Linked DNA regions of Coturnix japonica. The protein of the gene in region 2 interacts with the protein of the main gene of each other region in a pairwise test. Links are inferred from orthologs where the notes say so. Each region holds a gene or a part of one and is shown on either strand. Other genes may lie near its edges.

Region 1 (5,908 bases), on a different chromosome or scaffold from region 2:
AGAGTCCAGGTTGTCTATGGGCACAGTGAGGAGCTGATCTGTTCCTTCTCCTCTCCCCCACAGACAGTACATGAACAGAAAAGGAGGATTCAACAGACCATTGGATTTCATCGCTTGACGCTGCACGGAGCAGCTCTGCCTTGTTCACACACCTCAAAGGTGGGACAGGACTCCGTCACTCCATCCTCAAAGGGATTTTGGGGTCATTTAGAGCAAATCCGGGTGCTCTCGCTCTGCCCTGCACCGAGGGAGGGTGAACTGAAGCTCATCGATCTCGGCTCCGTTTGCTCCTCGCCAGGATTTCCTGCTGGTTCTATTGGTTGTTGTGTTATTTTTTTTACCAGCTCAGCATCGTCTGATTCAAACCCATCGATATTTTTCCCTTTCCTTTCTGGTTCATCCCCAATCTCCCTTTATTATAACATCACTCAGGAATAAAGTCAGCGAGAAAACGCTGCTGGAAAACCCACCCAACAGCTGATCCCCAACTCAACCTTTGGGATTTGAGCTGAACAAACTCACTTTGCTGCTTCTTTGTGTGTTCAATGGGTCACCCCAGGGTTGGGCAGGGATTCCAACCCAAACCTTGGGCAGGGATTCCCCCCATACAGGGATTCCCATCTCAGCTCTATGTTCCCTCAACCCCAGGAGGTGGCAGCACAGCCCTACAGCCAACATTGCTTTCAACCCCATCTCAATCAGCACATAAACCTCCCAGCGATGCTTTAAGATGAGGACATGCGGATCCAGCCCGGAGCTGAGCTTTTTGCTATGAGTTTTATGGGGTTTTGTGCTATTTTAGGGCAGGTTTGACTTAGTAAATCCAGCCCTTATTGGTGCCGGTGACTCACCCGGGCTGTCAGTGCCATACGGGGCTGTGTTGGTGCCCTGTCATCACTGCGACACGCCTGGAGCCCTGCGATAAGGCCCCGCTGCCAGACAGGGAATTCCCAACCCCCCCATCCCATCATTTCCTTTATCTCTGTGCTAATTAAACCTCATTAAACCAACCTGCTCAAAATGAGGAGAAAAAAGCCCATTTGTTTGGCCACACTTAGATGTGATGGGTGCTTTCATGAAGCCCCCAGCCCAATCCCCCCCCATTCACCCCCAAACCCCCCCAGCCGTGTTCTGCTGTTCAATGGGGTTCTATTTAGGGCCGCTGCATTGGGGGCGTGTTCCCCTTTTGACCCCCCCCCCCCATTAACACACACCCAGGTTTATCTGGTTTCCGTGCTGGGGGGGTGAGTCACCCCAGGGCAGGGCTGGGTTTCGGGGTGTGGGGAGGAAACAGCCTCCCCCCCCCCAAAAAAAAAAACCCAATTCCATCCCATTGGGCTCTATGGGGTGTGGGGGGGGTCCCTGCTGTGGGGTGAAGGGCGGCACCTTTGGGTGCTGGGGGAGGACTATAGGGGTCCCAGTTAATAGGGGTGGCTGCTTATAGGGGCTGCCTGTTTCTTATAGGGGCTGCCTGTTTCCTATAGGGGCTGCCTGTTCCTTATAGGGGCTGCCAGTTTCCTATAGGGGCTGCCTGTTCCTTATAGGGGCTGCCTGTTTCCTATAGGGGCTGCCTGTTACTTATAGGGGCTGCCTGTTACCTATAGGGGCTGCTTGTTCCTTATAGGGGCTGCCTGTTACCTATAGGGGCTGCCTGTTACCTATAGGGGATGCCTGTTACTTATAGGGGCTGCCTGTTCCTTATAGTGGCTGCCTGTTTCCTATAGGGGCTGCCTGTTACTTATAGGGGCTGCCTGTTTCTTATAGGGGCTGCCTGTTACTTATAGGGGCTGCCTGTTACCTATAGGGGCTGCCTGTTTCCTATAGGGGGCTCCTGGTTCCTATGGGGTCTCCATCCTTTATGGGGTCCCCCCATACCGGGGTCCGGGGGGTCCCGGCCCTACAGCCCCACGTTGACACTTGGCCACGCCCCCTCGCCCTCTTCTCGCCCTCCCATTGGCTGCGGGAGGCAGGAAGTGAGTCAGCCCCGTTGGCGGCTCGTCCAATCACAGCGCGCCTTCCCGGAGGGCCCGTCTGATCGGCGACAGCGGGGAGGGGGCGGGGCTTCCATCGGGGCCGAGCCAATGGCGGAAAGGCGTGTCTCACAGCCAACCAATGGCGAAAAGAGACGGTGGGGCGGCATCCAATGAGAGGCGGCGGTGGGCGGAGTCGGCGGAGCGGCCGGGCGAGGAGCTCAACCCGGCCCGGCCCGGCCCGGCCCCGCAGCAGCGGAGATGGCGGCGGGCGGAACCGACGGGGCCGGTGTCGGGTCCGGTATCGGGTCCGGTATCGGGTCCGGTGTCGGGTCCGGTATCGGGTCCGGTATCGGGTCCGGTATCGGGTCCGGTGTCGGGTCCGGTATCGGGTCCGGTATCGGGTCCGGTATCGGGTCCGGTGTCGGGTCCGGTATCGGGTCCGGTATCGGGTCCGGTATCGGGTCCAGTATCGAGCTGCTCCTGGAGGCTGCCGAGTACCTGGAGCGTCGGGAGCGAGGTACCGGTATTACACCGTGTGTCCCCCCCCCCCGGTTCGTCCCGGTGCCGCCCGGCGCTGCCCGCTCCCGTTGTGTCCCCACAGAGGCCGAACACGGCTACGCCTCCACGATGCCCGGACATGGAGCAGCGCGAAGGGACAGAACGAGGAGCAGGAACGGCCGGAGGAACGGAGGGGGCGGAAGGTAACGGGAGGGGGGAGGGGGGCAATGGGGGCACATAGAGACCCATAGAGACCCATAGAAACCCATAGAGAACCATTGGGACCCATAGAGACCCATAGAGAACCATTGGGACCCATAGAAACCCTATAGAGAACCATTGAGACCCATAGAAACCAGATAGAGACTCCATATAGACACATAGGAACACATAGAGACCCATAGGGACCCATAGAGACCCATAAGGACCCATAGAAACCCATAGGGACCCATAGAGACCCATAGGGACCCATAGAGACCCATAGGGACCCATAGGGACCCATAGAGACCCATAGGGACCCATAGGGACCCATAGGGACCCATAGAAACCCATAGGGACCCATAGAGACCCATTGGGACCCATAGAGACCCATAGGGACACATAGGGACCCATAGAGACCCATAGGGATCCATAGGGACCCATAGAGACCCATAGAGACCCATAGGGACCCATAGGGACCCATAGAGACCCATAGGGACCCATAGAGACCCATAAGGACCCATAGAGACCCATAGGGACCCATAGAGACCCATAAGGACCCACAGAGACCCATAGAGACCCATAGGGACCCATAGAGACCCATAGGGACCCATAGAGACCCATAGGGACCCATAGAGACCCCATAGGGACCCATAGAGACCCATAGGGACCCATAGGGACCCATAGAGACCCATAGGGACCCATAGAGACCCATAGGGACCCATAGAGACCCATAGGGACCCATAGGGACCCATAGAGACCCATAGAGACCCATAGAGACACATAGGGACACATAGAGACCCATAGGGACCCATAGGGACCCATAGAGACCCATAGGGACCCATAGAGACCCATAGGGACCCATAGAGACTCATAGGGACCTATTGGGACCAATAGGGACCCAAAGAGAGACATAGAGACCCCATAGAAACCCATGGAGACCCCATAGGGATCCATAGGGACACCGCTGTCAGCCGGGGGTCAGCAGCTGTCACAGGGCTCCGGGCTGGGGGGACGTGGAAGCAGAGGGCACTGCCTGCACCAGGAGATTGGGATCTATTGGGGCCTGTTGAAATCCCATTGCCATGGGGGGGCTGTGGGCTGTGGGGACCTTTGGGGACGCCGCTGTCATGGGATGCTCAGTCTATGAGGATTCCATGTCACAGTGCACACAGCTGAAGGTGCAGTCACACAACGTGGCAGGCAGAGATGCTGACACTGAGCTCTTGATTTCGGCCTTTGCTTTGGATGTTGCCTTGGTGTGGTTCTTGTGCCCAGGTTCCATTTGGGGGCTCTTAAAGTGGCAGATGAGATTCAGATCCAAACCCCCACAATGGGGAGGAGAGATTGTGCCCCTAAATGTGACCCATGGCCAATTCCTGCCGCCCCTCCCGGCTCCTTCCTGCTGTTTGCTCAGGGAGGAGCAGCTCTGCCATCTCAGGGCACGGCACCACGTCCTGCTCCGGATCACGTCGCATGGGGACGGGTGACCTTTGCCAGCTGTGACAGCAGGACGTCCCCGTCCCGTCAGCGAGCGCCCAGAGGTTCCTTAATGGGGAGATAAGGAGCTTCGTTCCTCACTTTAACATTGCTCACAAGGAATGGGAGCAGCAGGACTCGTGCTTTGGGGCTGCTGGTTGTACCTTAGAGATGCGCTGGAGTTGTGCTCTGCTCAGTTTGGGGTTGGTGTTGGGATGAGGAGAGCTTCCCCTTCCTGTGTGGTGCTGCTCAGCGCTGGTTGGGCCCCTTTGCTTCCTCCTCTCCTTTACAACCACTCACCCGGGGGGGTGTGTTGGGTGCTGCTGCCATCCTGTGCTGTTGGTGCTGCTTTGTGCTCCCCATAACCAGCAGCGAGCCGTCCCCATCCCAACCACCTCAGTGGGGTCTCCCTGACACTGCCATCTCTCTGGGTATCTCTCCCTATCCATCCCTATGCCACCACATTTATCATCCTGGGTGCAGTGACCCCTCTGCAGACCCCCCCCCTGCTGTCTGTCGTCCTCCTGGAGCCGAGCATTTCACAAAGTCCTCTTTCTTTTTCAGGTCGACTCACAATGAGATGGAAAAGAACAGGTGAGAATGGGCCGGGACCCACACGGGATCTCTTCTCATTGCACATCAGGGCTGCCCCTCTCCTATTCCAGAAGGAGCCGTGCCATGCTGTGCCCCTGGTACTGCTTAGTGCCCACCTGGGGCAGGCAGCTGGAATTTCCCTGTGGCATTTTCACCCCCTAGAAAGGGGTTTAAATCACACACCTCCCCCTGCTGAGCTGCTGGGGTGCAGCCCAGCCTGATGGAAAACAACCTGAGTGAGGGCTCAGCTCAGTTTGGGATTGACCCCAGCAGCACAAGCGCGTGTTTTGTTGGCAGTGTCATGCAGGAGGCACTCAGTGCAGGCAAATGCCTGTTTATTCGCATGCGGAACGAGATAGGCAGGTCGTTGCAACATCCCCATCTGCCCTGAGTGTGTCAGTGGGGTACGGCACAGGAGGTGTTGCAATGGGAACGGAACCGGAATATACTGAGCATGGGGCATCCTGCGCTGCAGGAGGGAGCGTGGAGTGCTGCACGTTGCCTGCTCCTGACCCAGAGGAGGCTCGAGGGCCGTGCTGTGTTTGCAGCCCTGTGCTGGATGTAGCTGGAGCAGTTTTATTTTGCTGTTCCTGCGCTGATATAGAGGTCAAGATGCTGCGTGGTGTTGGGGCACACTGAGCATCTGATGGTTTTCTTGCAGGCGTGCCCACCTGCGGCTGTGTTTGGAGAAGCTGAAGGTGCTGGTGCCGCTCGGCCCCGAATCCAGCAAGCACACCACGCTGAGTTTACTCATGAAAGCCAAATTGCACATCAAGGTGAGTCTGGCTGCACCAGAAGTTTCTGAGGGAGGGCTCAGACAAAGCTTTTCCAAAGCCCTCAGCCTCGCTCCTGCTCTGTTGGCACCATGTGGCTTCCTGGTGTGTTGACTGCTTTATGGTTTGCCCTTTACACTGTGACTCTCACTGAGCACATTTGGTTTTATGAAGCAGCAGATAACCATGGCGGCACGGCGGGACTCAGCCTGCGTGCCACTGGTGCCTTATCAAGGCCTGGAAATAGAGAAAAGGGATAGAGAAAAGCACTGCATAGAAACCATTCAGAGGAGGGAGCATTGTTAGTGTGCCAGCTCTCTGCTATGGGGTTGTATCAGCAGCAGTCTGGCTCTGAAGGGGTCTGGGAGATCTGGGCAGGCTGATGTGGTGGGT
Region 2 (6,117 bases):
GGAGGGTTCCTACCATAGAACCGTTTGCTCTGCTGCTCTCACTGTTCCGTCGCGGTGCTGCTGCAGACAAAGTCCTGCGGGAGCTGATCGAGCCCTACGAGCTGCGGGTGGCCAAACTGCGGGAGTTCCTGGCAGATGTGCAGCCCTCGGTGCTGTACGACATCGTGCCTCTGGGCGACCCCTACGGCCCCGCAATCACCGACCCGGAGCTGCGCTGCATCGTGGTCAGCGAGGAGACACGCAAGGGAGGGGAGGCCGTGAACAAGAAGAGGATCGAGAACGTAACTGGAGGATCTGAGACCTCTGGGCCCCGTGGTTACATCTGGGGGGCTCAGTGGTGTCCCCTCCCGGCAGGGCCTCGCCGCACTGGAGCTCTTTGAGATCGAGCTGATGGAGGATCCCCAACACAGCCTCAGTGAGGAGGAGAAGATCAGCTCCTCCAGCCTGCGACAGCGGCTGCTCGGCACGTTGCTGCGGCCCCCACGGGTAGGGGGAGCTGCCGGGGGCTGGGAGCTGCGGGACCACCGCCCGTCTGACCCTTCCTTCCCCAGGACAGCCCCACGCTGCCCCCCCGCCCCTACATCATCGGTCTGACCGGGGGCAGCGGGAGCGGGAAGACCTCGATCGCCCGCCGCCTGGGGCAGATGGGAGCGTTCATCATCGATGCTGATGCACTGGGCCACGCTGTGTACCTGCCCGGCAGCCCGGCCCACGGGCAAGTGGTGGCTGCGTTTGGGGCAGGTGGGGCTGGGTGTGCTGCGGCACCGGCGCTGTGCCGGGACACGCTGTGCAGGTGAGTTGGATTCTTTCTGCTCCCAAATCACCTCCCTCTGTCTTGCAGAAATCTTGAACAAAGACGGGACGATCAACAGGAAGATCCTCGGGGCAAAAGTGTTTGGAAACCAGGTACGAGCAGCACAGGGAATGTCAATATTTAACCTCATGAGCAGAGAACTCTGTGCTGGCGCTTTGATTTCCAGCCCTTTGAGCTGATGCCACGTCCCTGTGCAGTAGCACACAGTAAATCAGCGGCTGTGCAGGATCCACATCCAGGCAGCAGCTGCTGTTGCTCCTCCAGCTGTGGCCCCCTCGTGGACCAACCTCTGGGAGGACCCTGACTCCGCTGCGGTTCCTTTCCAGGAGCGGCTGAAGAACCTCACAGACATCGTGTGGCCGGAGATCGCGCGGATGGTCAGGGAGCAGATCAGGGAGGCAGGAGCTCAAGGTACCGGGTGGCTCTGATTGTAGTGGGCGCTGCCGGCGCTGCCTGTGTCCGCCCGGTGACCAGGAACGGCCTCGTTCCGTAGGAAAAGCCGTGATGGTGCTGGATGCCGCCGTGCTGCTGGAGGCCGGATGGCAGGAGATGGTGCACGAGGTGTGGGCGGCCATCATCCCCGAGGACGAGGTGGGTGACTCCCCTCGGCCGCCCCGTGATCCCCGTGACCCCCCGTGACCCCCGTGATCCCCGTGACCCCCGTGATCGCCGTGATCCCCGTGATCGCCGTGACCCCCGTGATCGCCGTGACCCCCCGTCCCGTGCTGGTCCCGCAGGCGCTGAAACGCATCGTGAGCCGGGACGGGCTGAGCGAGGAGGCGGCGCGTGACCGGCTGCGGAGTCAGATGAGCGACGGGCAGCGGGTGCGGGAGGCGCATGTTGTGCTGAGCACCGCGTGGGAGCCCGACGTCACCCACAAACAGGTGAGAACGGGCCGCTGTAACGGGCCGGTGTAACGGCGCCGAGCCCCGCACGAAGCTGCTGACGGTGCCCGTTGTCAGGTGGAGAAGGCGTGGGAGCTGCTGCAGCGCCGCATCCACCGCGCGGCCACCGCAACGAGCAGCTGAACCGCAACGGGACCGAGAGGAGCCGGGACCGGGAGCGAACGGAGCGAACGGAGCGAACGGAGCCGCACAACGCGCCGGGACGGACCGGAAGCGCCGCGGCCCCGACCGGGCGGGTACGGCCCGTGCTCGGCACGGCGGGCGCTGCCGGTTCCGCGCCGTGATCCCGCAGCCGAGCGGCGGTTAAAGGGCGGTCGCAGTTTCCCGGTGTCCGTGCTGTTTGTGTCCCGTTGGTCCCGTTGTTCCCGTTGTTCCCGTTGTCCCCACGTGGCGCCCCCTCGCGGTCGGGAGGGCGGCGCTTCCCGGCGTCCCCCGCGGCTCCCACGTGACCGGGGCGGGGGAAGATGGCGGAGCCGCCCGGTGCCGCGGCGGAGGAAGCGTGGGGGAAGGTAACGGGGCGGCGGTCGGACCGTGGGGCCGAGGCCCGGAGCGCCACCATCCGCCCCGTGACCGCCGCCCTCCGCCCGCAGGTGGACGCCGCGTACGGGGACAATGTCCCGGAGCCCGGTAGGTGCCGGGGGGGGCGGTTCGATGGCGGGTGGCGGATGGGGCGGCTCCGCTGAGCGGCTCCCGCTGTCCCGCAGCGCTCGGTACGGACAGGAAGGGCAGCGTCGTGTCCCGCGCCAACAGCATCGGATCCACCAGCGCCTCGTCCGTGCCCAACACCGGTACGAACGGGGGCACCGGGCTGGAGCGGGGCGGGCGCGGGGCAACCGGGGACGGCGGCGTCCGGGGGGGCCCGTCCCGACCCGCGCTCAGCGCCGCTGTGTCCGCAGACGACGAGGACAGCGATTACCCGCAGGAGTTTTACAAGGAGTCCTACAAGGACCAGCGGCGCCGGGCGCACACGCAGGCGGAGCAGAAGCGGCGCGATGCCATCAAGGTCGGTGGGCGCCGCGCCGCGTTCCAGCCCCTCGTCCCGTGCTGGATCCGCTCCATGAGCCGCGTGTGGCTGGAGCCGCTTTGGCCGCGTGGTGGGAGCTGGGCTGTGGGTCCGTGTAACCGCTGCCGTTTGTGCCTGTTCTGCTCCCTCTGCCCCTGCAGAAAGGCTACGACGACCTGCAGGCCATCGTGCCCACCTGCCAGCAGCAGGACTTCGCCATCGGCTCCCAGAAGCTGAGCAAGGCCGTCATCCTGCAGAAGAGTGAGTGTGTGCAGGAGGCAGCAGGGCACGATCCGACCCTCAGGCACCTCAATGTGGTGATTGTGTGTGATGGTGCCTCGGGGACCGACCTCAGGGAGGTCAGAGGGGCCCCATGTGCTGCTTACTCTGTGTTTTTGTGTTCAGCCATTGATTACATTCAGTTCCTGCACAAGGAAAAGAAGAAGCAAGAAGAGGAAGTTTCTACTCTCAGGAAAGACGTGATGGCCTTGAAGATAATGAAAGTGTAAGTAAGAAGTTATTTGGTTGCTGCCCCCTTCTTCCTGCTGTTTTTCCCCATGTCCCTGCAAAGCTCCCCCGATGTGCTCAGTGCTCTGTGTGCAGTCTGGCACCTGGGGTCGTACCAAATTGCCTCCAGTTCTGAAGCTGTTTTCAGTGTCCAGTTACTGGCAGCAGCTTCTGCCCCCGCTGTCGCCCAGCTGCTGTGCAGTACGAGGCTTCGATAGCACTGAGCCCCAAACTTGGTGTTTCAGGAACTATGAGCAGATCGTAAAAGCTCACCAGGACAACCCGAGTGAGGGGAAGGACCAGGTCTCTGACCAGGTGAAATTCAACGTTTTCCAAGGCATTATGGATTCCCTCTTTGAGTCCTTTAATGCCTCCATCTCAGTCACGAGTTTTCAAGAGCTGTCAGCATGTGTCTTCAGCTGGATTGAGGAGCACTGTAAGCCCCATGTGAGTACAGCAGACACAGGGGGGTTGATATAAGAGCAGAGGCTGTTGTGTATGGCTGCACCTGTCTGGAGTGTAGGCCTGTGTGCAGCTTTTCTTTCGCCTGGGCCTTCAGAAAGGCAGAATGTGGCTGACACTGGACCTGGGGCATGGGAGCTTGGGTTCCTCTCATTTCCCAGCTGCTTGGCAGTGAAATTCAGACACTGAAAAACAGAGCTTACAAAGAGGGTGCTTGTTCCCCAGCACTTTGTTCCATAAGACACTTAGAAGTTAGGAGGGAAGAGAATGAGCTGCATGGGCAGGGCCAGGTCCTTGTTGTGCTGTGGCTGCCTGGAGCCCTGCAGCCTGAGAACACAGACAGGCGATCGTTTCCCATACAGGTGCTGAGATCTGTGGCACCAGGTGCTGTCTGTAGCATTGAGCATGGGAAAGGCTTTTCCTCCCCTGAACAACTGACTGTGTCTCCTCTCTGCCCCAGACCCTACGGGACATTGTCATCGGGGTCCTGCACCAGGTGAAGAGTCAGCTGTACTGAGCATCCCTCGCTGGAGCACCTCCCGACCGGGTGACAGCTGCCAGGAGAGGCTGGACCATCTCCCTTGTGCTGGTCCTTAAAGCTTCTTCGATTATTTATTGTCACTACAAAACCAAACCAAAGCTGTGCAAACAGGTACTGTCACAGTCAACGTTACCAAATACTGCTAAGGACTTAGTGAAGGGAAAGAAATAAGTGTGTATTGAATATAGATCTTTTAAGTTGCCAGTGTCTTTAGCTCAGGCAGGTGGTTGCAGTTGGGTTTATCTGTGCCACTGATTTCAGGGCTGCAGCTCAGCAGGTGAATCTGCTCTGTAACCTCACACCTGATATAAACCCTATTGAACCTGGGAGCAGGGAGAAATAGGAGAGTGCTAAAAGCTGTTGCTGTGCTAATGCAGCTCAGGAATAGGGTTATTCTGCAGCTGCAGGTTTTCAATACCTCCCTCTGAAGCAGCTCTTAGAAAAGCAAGAGTCTGCTTTTAATTTCTGTAGCTGCTTTGGAGAAGGCCCGGGAGAACTGAGGGCAGGTTTATTAGCATGTCACTGCCAGGGCAATGCTCATTACATGGAGCAGCAAGCGAGCTCTGTGCTGAAGGAGTGCCCTGGGGCCTCGCTGTGCTGACTCTTCAGTAACACCCCTGAATGGGAAAGGAGTGAACTTTCATTGCAGCCTTTTCCTCCTTGTTCTGATGAGTGCTGAATTGGGCCTGGCTTTATCTTTTTCTGGGTTGTGATGTGGCCACACTGAACAGGAAAGTTCAGTAGCTGCAGCACAGCATTACTCTGAGTTCACACTGCTGTTCCTTAGCACCATGATTTTATGTGGGTATATATATTTATATACATGTAACCAGCCTTGATTTTATTTTATAGATCACTGAAATCATTGTAAAGTGTAATCAATGCCAGTTTTGCAGTGTCTCACTTGCCACACGCTGCTGCTGTCAGTGTGAATCAGCAAACCAAGCACAATGATGGCATTGGACAGCATCACCCTCCATGGCATTGACACATACAGCAGGACTTGTTCTCTAGTCGTGTTCTTGCTACCACTCCAACAGTAGCAACTATTTATTTTATGTTGTTTTTCCACTGTAGATGAGGTAATGCTAAGTTTCTCAGCTCCGGGTTGCTTGATTTTTGAATGCTGCAGCTGGAGATGGTTGAAGCTGTTGCTTCTGTTTGACTTAAATGAAGAAAAGCTTTTTGGTGGGGTTGATTTTTAGATGAAATTGTTTTTCCAAACCCTGTGACCTTTTGGATATAATACAATAGAAGCCCAGTAGGAGTCAGACCCTGTGGTGTCGCACACAACTGATGACACGTACAGGGCACAGCTTAATTTCCTTTAGATGCAACCTCTTGCCTTGAGAGGAAGATGCGGATTTTTACAGACCTCATATGTGAAAGTGACATATTTTTCTATTATGGAAAATGATTAAATAAATTTTGCTGAATGTTTTAATGGCTCTTCTGCTTTTATTTCTGGTGCTGTGTGCCTGGAGACTTTAATGGGATCAGGTAAGGGCTGCACCCACTGCAGCTGTGGCTCACGGACCACGTCCAAGGCCAGCCCTGCTACCCTCTCAACACAGAAGACACCACAGCAGAGCACATCTGGAACAGAAGGATGGTGTTTAATGAATCGTGGGGTTGTGTACAACTCTGTACATACTGTGGGAAGCAGCTCCCTCCATGTATGGAGTTTACAGAAATATGGGCCATAATGGTAATTCGTTCCTTCACCTCCGTGAGGTGCTTCCTTCCTGTTCTTATCAACACACCATCCCTGTAACCCAGTGCTCTTACACCCTCCCAGTCACTGCCTAGTGAAGAAGCCCAACCAAAATGGAGAGGGTCCACTGCTGAGTCAATTGCTCTGAACTTCCCTTCCAGGGGCAAAGCA
Region 3 (5,343 bases), on a different chromosome or scaffold from region 2:
CCGAAACTGAATTTTGACTAATAATCCTGCAAAATAATCACCCTTACAAAAGGCCTTCTTCAAATGTTATATTTATATATATATGTATATACATATATATACACACACATACACACATATATATAAATATAGACTTTTATGATTTTGTTTTTCCCATTCTACGCAACATCTCAATAAAGAGATCAGCAGATTTATTCTACAAAGAAGCAACACATAAAAGGGGAAAATTAAAGTCTGAAGAACATCATAACCATATTTCACCAATTACACATAAAAGGAAAAAAAATCACCATGAACAACTGTCTTTGAAGTTTTCTCAGATTAACAAAACTCGAGCGCAGAGAGGCCCCCTCTGGCCATAGCCAGGCTGGCTGCTGGGTGGTCAGACTGGCCCACCCCCTGCCCTGCCGCTCTGCGCCTCCCTCCCGTGGAGTCAGGCGTGGTTGGAATGTATGGAGTTTAGGAAAGGTTCCCAACAAAGACTTCACCTTCGGACGATTCTCTCTAGGCCAGCTTCAGTGTGCTCACTGGGAATGATGGCATGGTTACCATAGTTACTGGGTTTAGGACTGTCTGTCCAACTAACTGCGGGTGATGGACAACTTGGGTTCCTACGGCCGGTTTGGCCATCACCGCTTGCTGGCCAAGACTTGTGGTTCCATTCACTTGCTGGTGAGAGATCGTGTGAGCGATGTGGCTCACCACGGGCTGGCTGACGGCCATGGGCTGAGGGTAGATGGGCAGCTGCTGACCGAGGTGGGCCATGTGGTTGATGGTGGCTGGGTGCACAGTGATGTGGCCGATAGGCTGAGCAGCAGTGGTAAGTTGCACAGGGCTGGACGTGGAAGGTGCAATGTGAGCAATGTGCTTGGTCTGTGGACCCTGAATGACGTGGTTGACAGTCTGAATGACCGAAGCGTGGGTAGTGGCCGTGTGGGCAATAACAGTCGATTGCACTGTCGAAGCCGCCACGATGTGAGTCTGTGCTGGGACAATCGCCTGCGGCTGAACCAGTGCTTGTGTCTGGATGGAAGGCTGTGCGTGGGCTGGGGGTTGTTTCTGCTGGATAGACAGGTGCTGAGGCAAAACCGCCAGGTGATGGGAAGCAGTGTTTGAAGGGACGGCTTTCAGGAGCTCTGGGTGCTGGCGCTGGGCTAGTTTTGGTAATGAGTTTACAGGCCTGTCATCTTCCATGTCTTCATCCATGTTGTCTTCACCCTCTGGAAAAAGAATGAAATGAAGAAACTCCCATTAAAAAAAAAAAACAAAAAAACACAAAAAACCTGGGCTACCTGACCACTCCCGCAAGGCAGCACAAGCAGCAGAGAGGACAGCAGGAGGAGTCACTGAGCTGAGTGAGAGCAGCACAGCACAGCACAGCAGGCTCCATTCAGCTCAGCTCAAAGTGCTCGCAAAAAACTGGGAGATCCCACTTGGCAGGCAACAGAAGCAACTTGAACTGAGGCAGACAGACAGAAGCTGGACTGAGAAGCACCCTCTGCACAGAGAGAAGGATTTCTTTTCCTGGTAAGTTGTTCTGTCAGCTGGAACTACTCCTGCTCCCAGAGCAGGAAGGAAACAGTGATGAAGAACTGTGGCAGCAAGTTTACTGGTCTGGCTCTGGAAAAAAAAGTCTCCATTGAGCCTACAAATTAATGAGGCAATGCTGACCTTAAGGAGATTAGGATCATCAGCAGGGCACTCTGCTCTGCCTGCTCTAACGCTAGGCACACAGTAGAGATTAAAAAACTCAGAAGGAAGAAAAAACTAAGAAAGACACTTCCCTTTTGCAAGCCCCATGGTCAGTAGTAGCTTGAAGAGATCATTTTCAGCAGAGGCAGCTGGAGAAGTGAACAGCTTGATGCCTCAATTTACAAAGGCTCTCAACTCTCAGCTTCCACCAGCTTATGCTTGGAGATGGTCTGGAGCACGTTCAAAGGTGATGAGCCCAGTACAGGAATCTGAATGAACCAGAAAGCTCAGGTTTTCCCTTTCTGGGTTCCTGCTGTGCCATCTGCCTGGAGCACCACAAGCAAATGCCACTGCTATTATAAGGAACTGCTGCAAATAGTTGGGAACTGCTACAGCCTTCTGATCTCTGGAAAGTACAGTGCTGTCCATCCATGACTGCCTGTTCTTCCTGCTGCAGGTCACTGGTACCTCCTACCTCACAAAAACTTCTCACTGCAATAGCATGCTTGATTTTCATTAGCATTGCTTATCTTCACTGTGAATCTTTCTTGTGCAGTGTACGAGATGTACACTCCTGCACCAATTCCTTCTTCTCTGTGTGGCTGAACACCTTCTTACCTCCATGCACAAATACATTAGGACACTTACACACCAACCAGTTTTCATGAGCAGGGCTGTGTAGCTGTGCAGGAGGGAAACTACATTCTGAAAGCAAGGAGCTTCATGCAAGATACCACCAGAACGAATGTGCAAAACTGCACCTTGTGTTTATGTAACATGGTTGATACATGATTTCCAGTGCACTTTGCACAAGTATATTATTAGGCCACCATCACCAACTACAAATCCTTGAAATCCTTTTACTTAATTCTGAATGCAAAGCAACTGTGATGGTCTAAATGAATATCCCCACCAGCCATCTCTACTACAATGGTGCACAATGATGGTTACAAGAAGAGAGAAATGGCGGGTACCTGACGCTGTGGAGGTAGATGCCTGGTCATCCTCTGGCTGAACTGTCTGTCGAACAATTCTGTCGATCTCCATGATGTCCATCCATTGGCTCAGCTCGTTCTTCAGTTCTGCCAGCCGCTGCTGGGTAGCGATCTTTTCCCTCGCCAGCCGCTCCATCTCATGCTCATATTCTTTTTCCTTTCTCTTTAAAGTCTAAAGGCAGAACAAAGGAAAGAAAAACAATCTAAGGAGGAAAAAAAACCCAAATGTAATCTATTCTAACCTGGTCATTGCCACATTCGTTGCCGGTTTTCTTTTATTATTAGTTATGCTGGGTTCAGGTATAGTTATCACTTCCAAGTTCACACAGGAAGAAAAGGAGCTGGTCATGAAAACCTATAGAGTTGCCTTGGCCAACTGCTTTCTGCTTTCTGAAGGAAAACTATTGAGTCTTCAAAACTGAAATGATTAACCAGGTCAGGTGTGAGTCACTTCAGCTCCAGGGGGAGCAGTGCAGAACACCTCGGGAAAACTGCAGAACTTCACCATCAGCCGACAGTGACAGCGATTAGCACCAGTTCTGAACATCAGCCTGACCTCACCTGTCTCATGAAATGTAAAGGGAATTAAGGCTTACTGCAGACTGCTGGAGAGGTGTGAAGGAAGCACAATGGGTGCAGCTTTCTCCTCATCGCCAGGTGAGAGAATGTGCTTCTACCACATACATCTATTTCCAAGAGTGCTTAAGGAAAGCAAGCACGTACACAGATCAGTGCTCCTGCAGAGCAGCTAACTGCTGGCCCAGTGCTTGAGAAAGGTGAGAATCCCCCACATCCTTGCAATGAGAAAGAAGCGCAGTGCAGAAAACTCGGCTCTTATGTGGGATGACAAAACCACAGACAAATTGAAGTACTTCAAAGACAAAGTGCAGAGGAACAGATAGCATCTTTTACTAAACCAACTAACAGCAGTTAGGAACAAATGACAAGCTTCTGGGACACAAACTCAAAAAGGTCTACATGTGATGACAGTGCATTTCTGTAAGCTCAAGTTGGTCAGCACATAAGTCAGGAAGAGACAGAAATCTGACACTTATAGGAAGTGATTGTTCCACACGTGTATGTGGTGATAAAGGCTCCTGGACATACTCATGGCTGAAGCCAGACCCTCACACTTGTTCCAAGGGCTGTTACAATGCAAAGCACAAGAATTTCTTACAACAGCAGTCGTATCACAACAGAACAACTCTATGCAAAAAAAACCCCAAACCAACCCACTGTCACAGTAGTTACATTTATCTTTAAAATAAGCAGCAATCATACTGTCTTTGGGATCTGCCAACAGAATTGGAACCTACAGGTGGAATGTGCAGAGGAGACCACCAGAACTACATCAAACAAAATTAGGAACAAAACTTCAATAAAGAAATTCATCCAAGTGGCCAACCACCTGTCTCTGCAGGTCTGGAATGCCACAAAGCAGAGGCACCTGCATCTGGGACGGCTGAGGGTCTACAGCTGCCATCTGAGCCACTGCTCCCACTGGGAGCAGCAGCAGTGGCTGTGCTGAGGGTTCTGATGAAGCCTCACCACCACGACAGGGACGAAGCTGCTGTGATACAGGATGCCCACCCTGTGGGCTCCAACCCTTACTCCTGAGCCCTGCCTCTGCTAGGGCTGTGCCCCTGCAGCAGGGCTGCATCCTGCAGCACAGGCTGGGGTTTGCTGTAGGGATGTTCTGCACAAAGCTGCCAGCTCTGCTAAAAAGGAGCTGATGATTTCACTCCCAACAGTTTGTGCAGTTTAGCTCCTGCCTGAAATCCGGAGCAGAGTCCACGCAGGGCATGCAGGAACACTCTGCTGCAGGCGTGAGTATCTCTTTCATTTCCATTTCCCAGAAGGGAAGGACAATTCTGAAAGTGACGGCTGTGCCCATGAGTGACTCAGCTGTGCACGCCAGCAGGGCTCCACACACAGCACAGAGCAGCCCCAGGGAGACGTGCCTGCCTGGAAGCTGTATTTGCCTTTGCTACGCATGGAATGGGATTTTCCTCCATTGCACGTAGCTCTCAGCTCCAGAGCAGCCCTTTCCCACACGGATTACTACAGTAAGCCCAACACAATCGCAGAGGAAGCCAAGAGCCACAGTATGAGCTGCAATGCGCTTTGTGCCCACTCTTCTCCCCAATTTGGAGCCGTTTCGTGGTCCTCGTATGCATCCCGCTGCCGCCACTTGGTAAACAAACCAGAACCAAAGTGCTGTTGTCACCCCACCGCAGTGGTCATTTGTCACTGTAAAGAATTTTCCATTTTATAGCTGGCTGTAATTAAATTGCTTATTCTTATGTCAAGATCGAGAATAATGCTCCCACTACTTTCTCTATGCCTGCCTCAGGAATAATGCTAACCCTGTGCAGGAATCAGCGAGGTTTAAGAGGCCTTATTAAAAAGCTCCCCTTATAGGCATTACATTAGCAATTTAAAAACTCACTTTCAATTATGAGCTTTTCCAAAAGCATATTTCAGCTGTTGTGCTCTACTACACTGCATCCACTGATTAAAAATTCCCCATCAATGAGCAATCATGGAAGTGATTTGTAATTCTGAACCAGATTCCTTCGCTCTCTGCAGCCACTGGAGCGGATCTCGAGCTCATGGCTGTGGGAGCTCCCTGCGATGCTGCCCCAGTGCAGCACCC

Evidence for each region.
Region 1: the proteins of MLX (region 2) and MXD1 interact in a two-hybrid assay, tested with the Homo sapiens proteins (2 studies listed by BioGRID and IntAct). The link is inferred for Coturnix japonica from reciprocal best matches to the Homo sapiens genes MLX and MXD1.
Region 3: the proteins of MLX (region 2) and MNT interact in a two-hybrid assay, tested with the Homo sapiens proteins (2 studies listed by BioGRID and IntAct). The link is inferred for Coturnix japonica from reciprocal best matches to the Homo sapiens genes MLX and MNT.

What each region holds. Positions count from the first base shown.
Region 1 is NC_029537.1:821,259-827,166, reverse strand, and holds the start of MXD1 (max dimerization protein 1), read left to right. Parts: upstream 1-2,162; 5' UTR 2,163-2,231; coding exon 2,232-2,490; intron 2,491-2,574; coding exon 2,575-2,674; intron 2,675-4,712; coding exon 4,713-4,742; intron 4,743-5,403; coding exon 5,404-5,518; intron 5,519-5,908. Other genes in the region: SNRNP27 (U4/U6.U5 small nuclear ribonucleoprotein 27 kDa protein), read left to right, coding at 64-118. UniProt on the Homo sapiens protein: Component of a transcriptional repressor complex together with MAX. In complex with MAX binds to the core DNA sequence 5'-CAC[GA]TG-3'. Antagonizes MYC transcriptional activity by competing with MYC for MAX binding.
Region 2 is NC_029542.1:4,577,106-4,583,222, forward strand, and holds MLX (max-like protein X), read left to right. Parts: upstream 1-2,067; 5' UTR 2,068-2,183; coding exon 2,184-2,228; intron 2,229-2,309; coding exon 2,310-2,346; intron 2,347-2,423; coding exon 2,424-2,507; intron 2,508-2,615; coding exon 2,616-2,722; intron 2,723-2,883; coding exon 2,884-2,983; intron 2,984-3,127; coding exon 3,128-3,227; intron 3,228-3,474; coding exon 3,475-3,676; intron 3,677-4,151; coding exon 4,152-4,208; 3' UTR 4,209-5,676; downstream 5,677-6,117. Other genes in the region: bifunctional coenzyme A synthase-like, read left to right, coding at 67-281, 355-486, 552-741, 842-906, 1,141-1,225, 1,308-1,405, 1,552-1,698, 1,754-2,026. UniProt on the Homo sapiens protein: Transcription regulator. Forms a sequence-specific DNA-binding protein complex with MAD1, MAD4, MNT, WBSCR14 and MLXIP which recognizes the core sequence 5'-CACGTG-3'. The TCFL4-MAD1, TCFL4-MAD4, TCFL4-WBSCR14 complexes are transcriptional repressors.
Region 3 is NC_029534.1:8,115,937-8,121,279, forward strand, and holds the end of MNT (max-binding protein MNT), read right to left. Parts: intron 2,860-5,343; coding exon 2,667-2,859; intron 1,221-2,666; coding exon 505-1,220; downstream 1-504. UniProt on the Homo sapiens protein: Binds DNA as a heterodimer with MAX and represses transcription. Binds to the canonical E box sequence 5'-CACGTG-3' and, with higher affinity, to 5'-CACGCG-3'.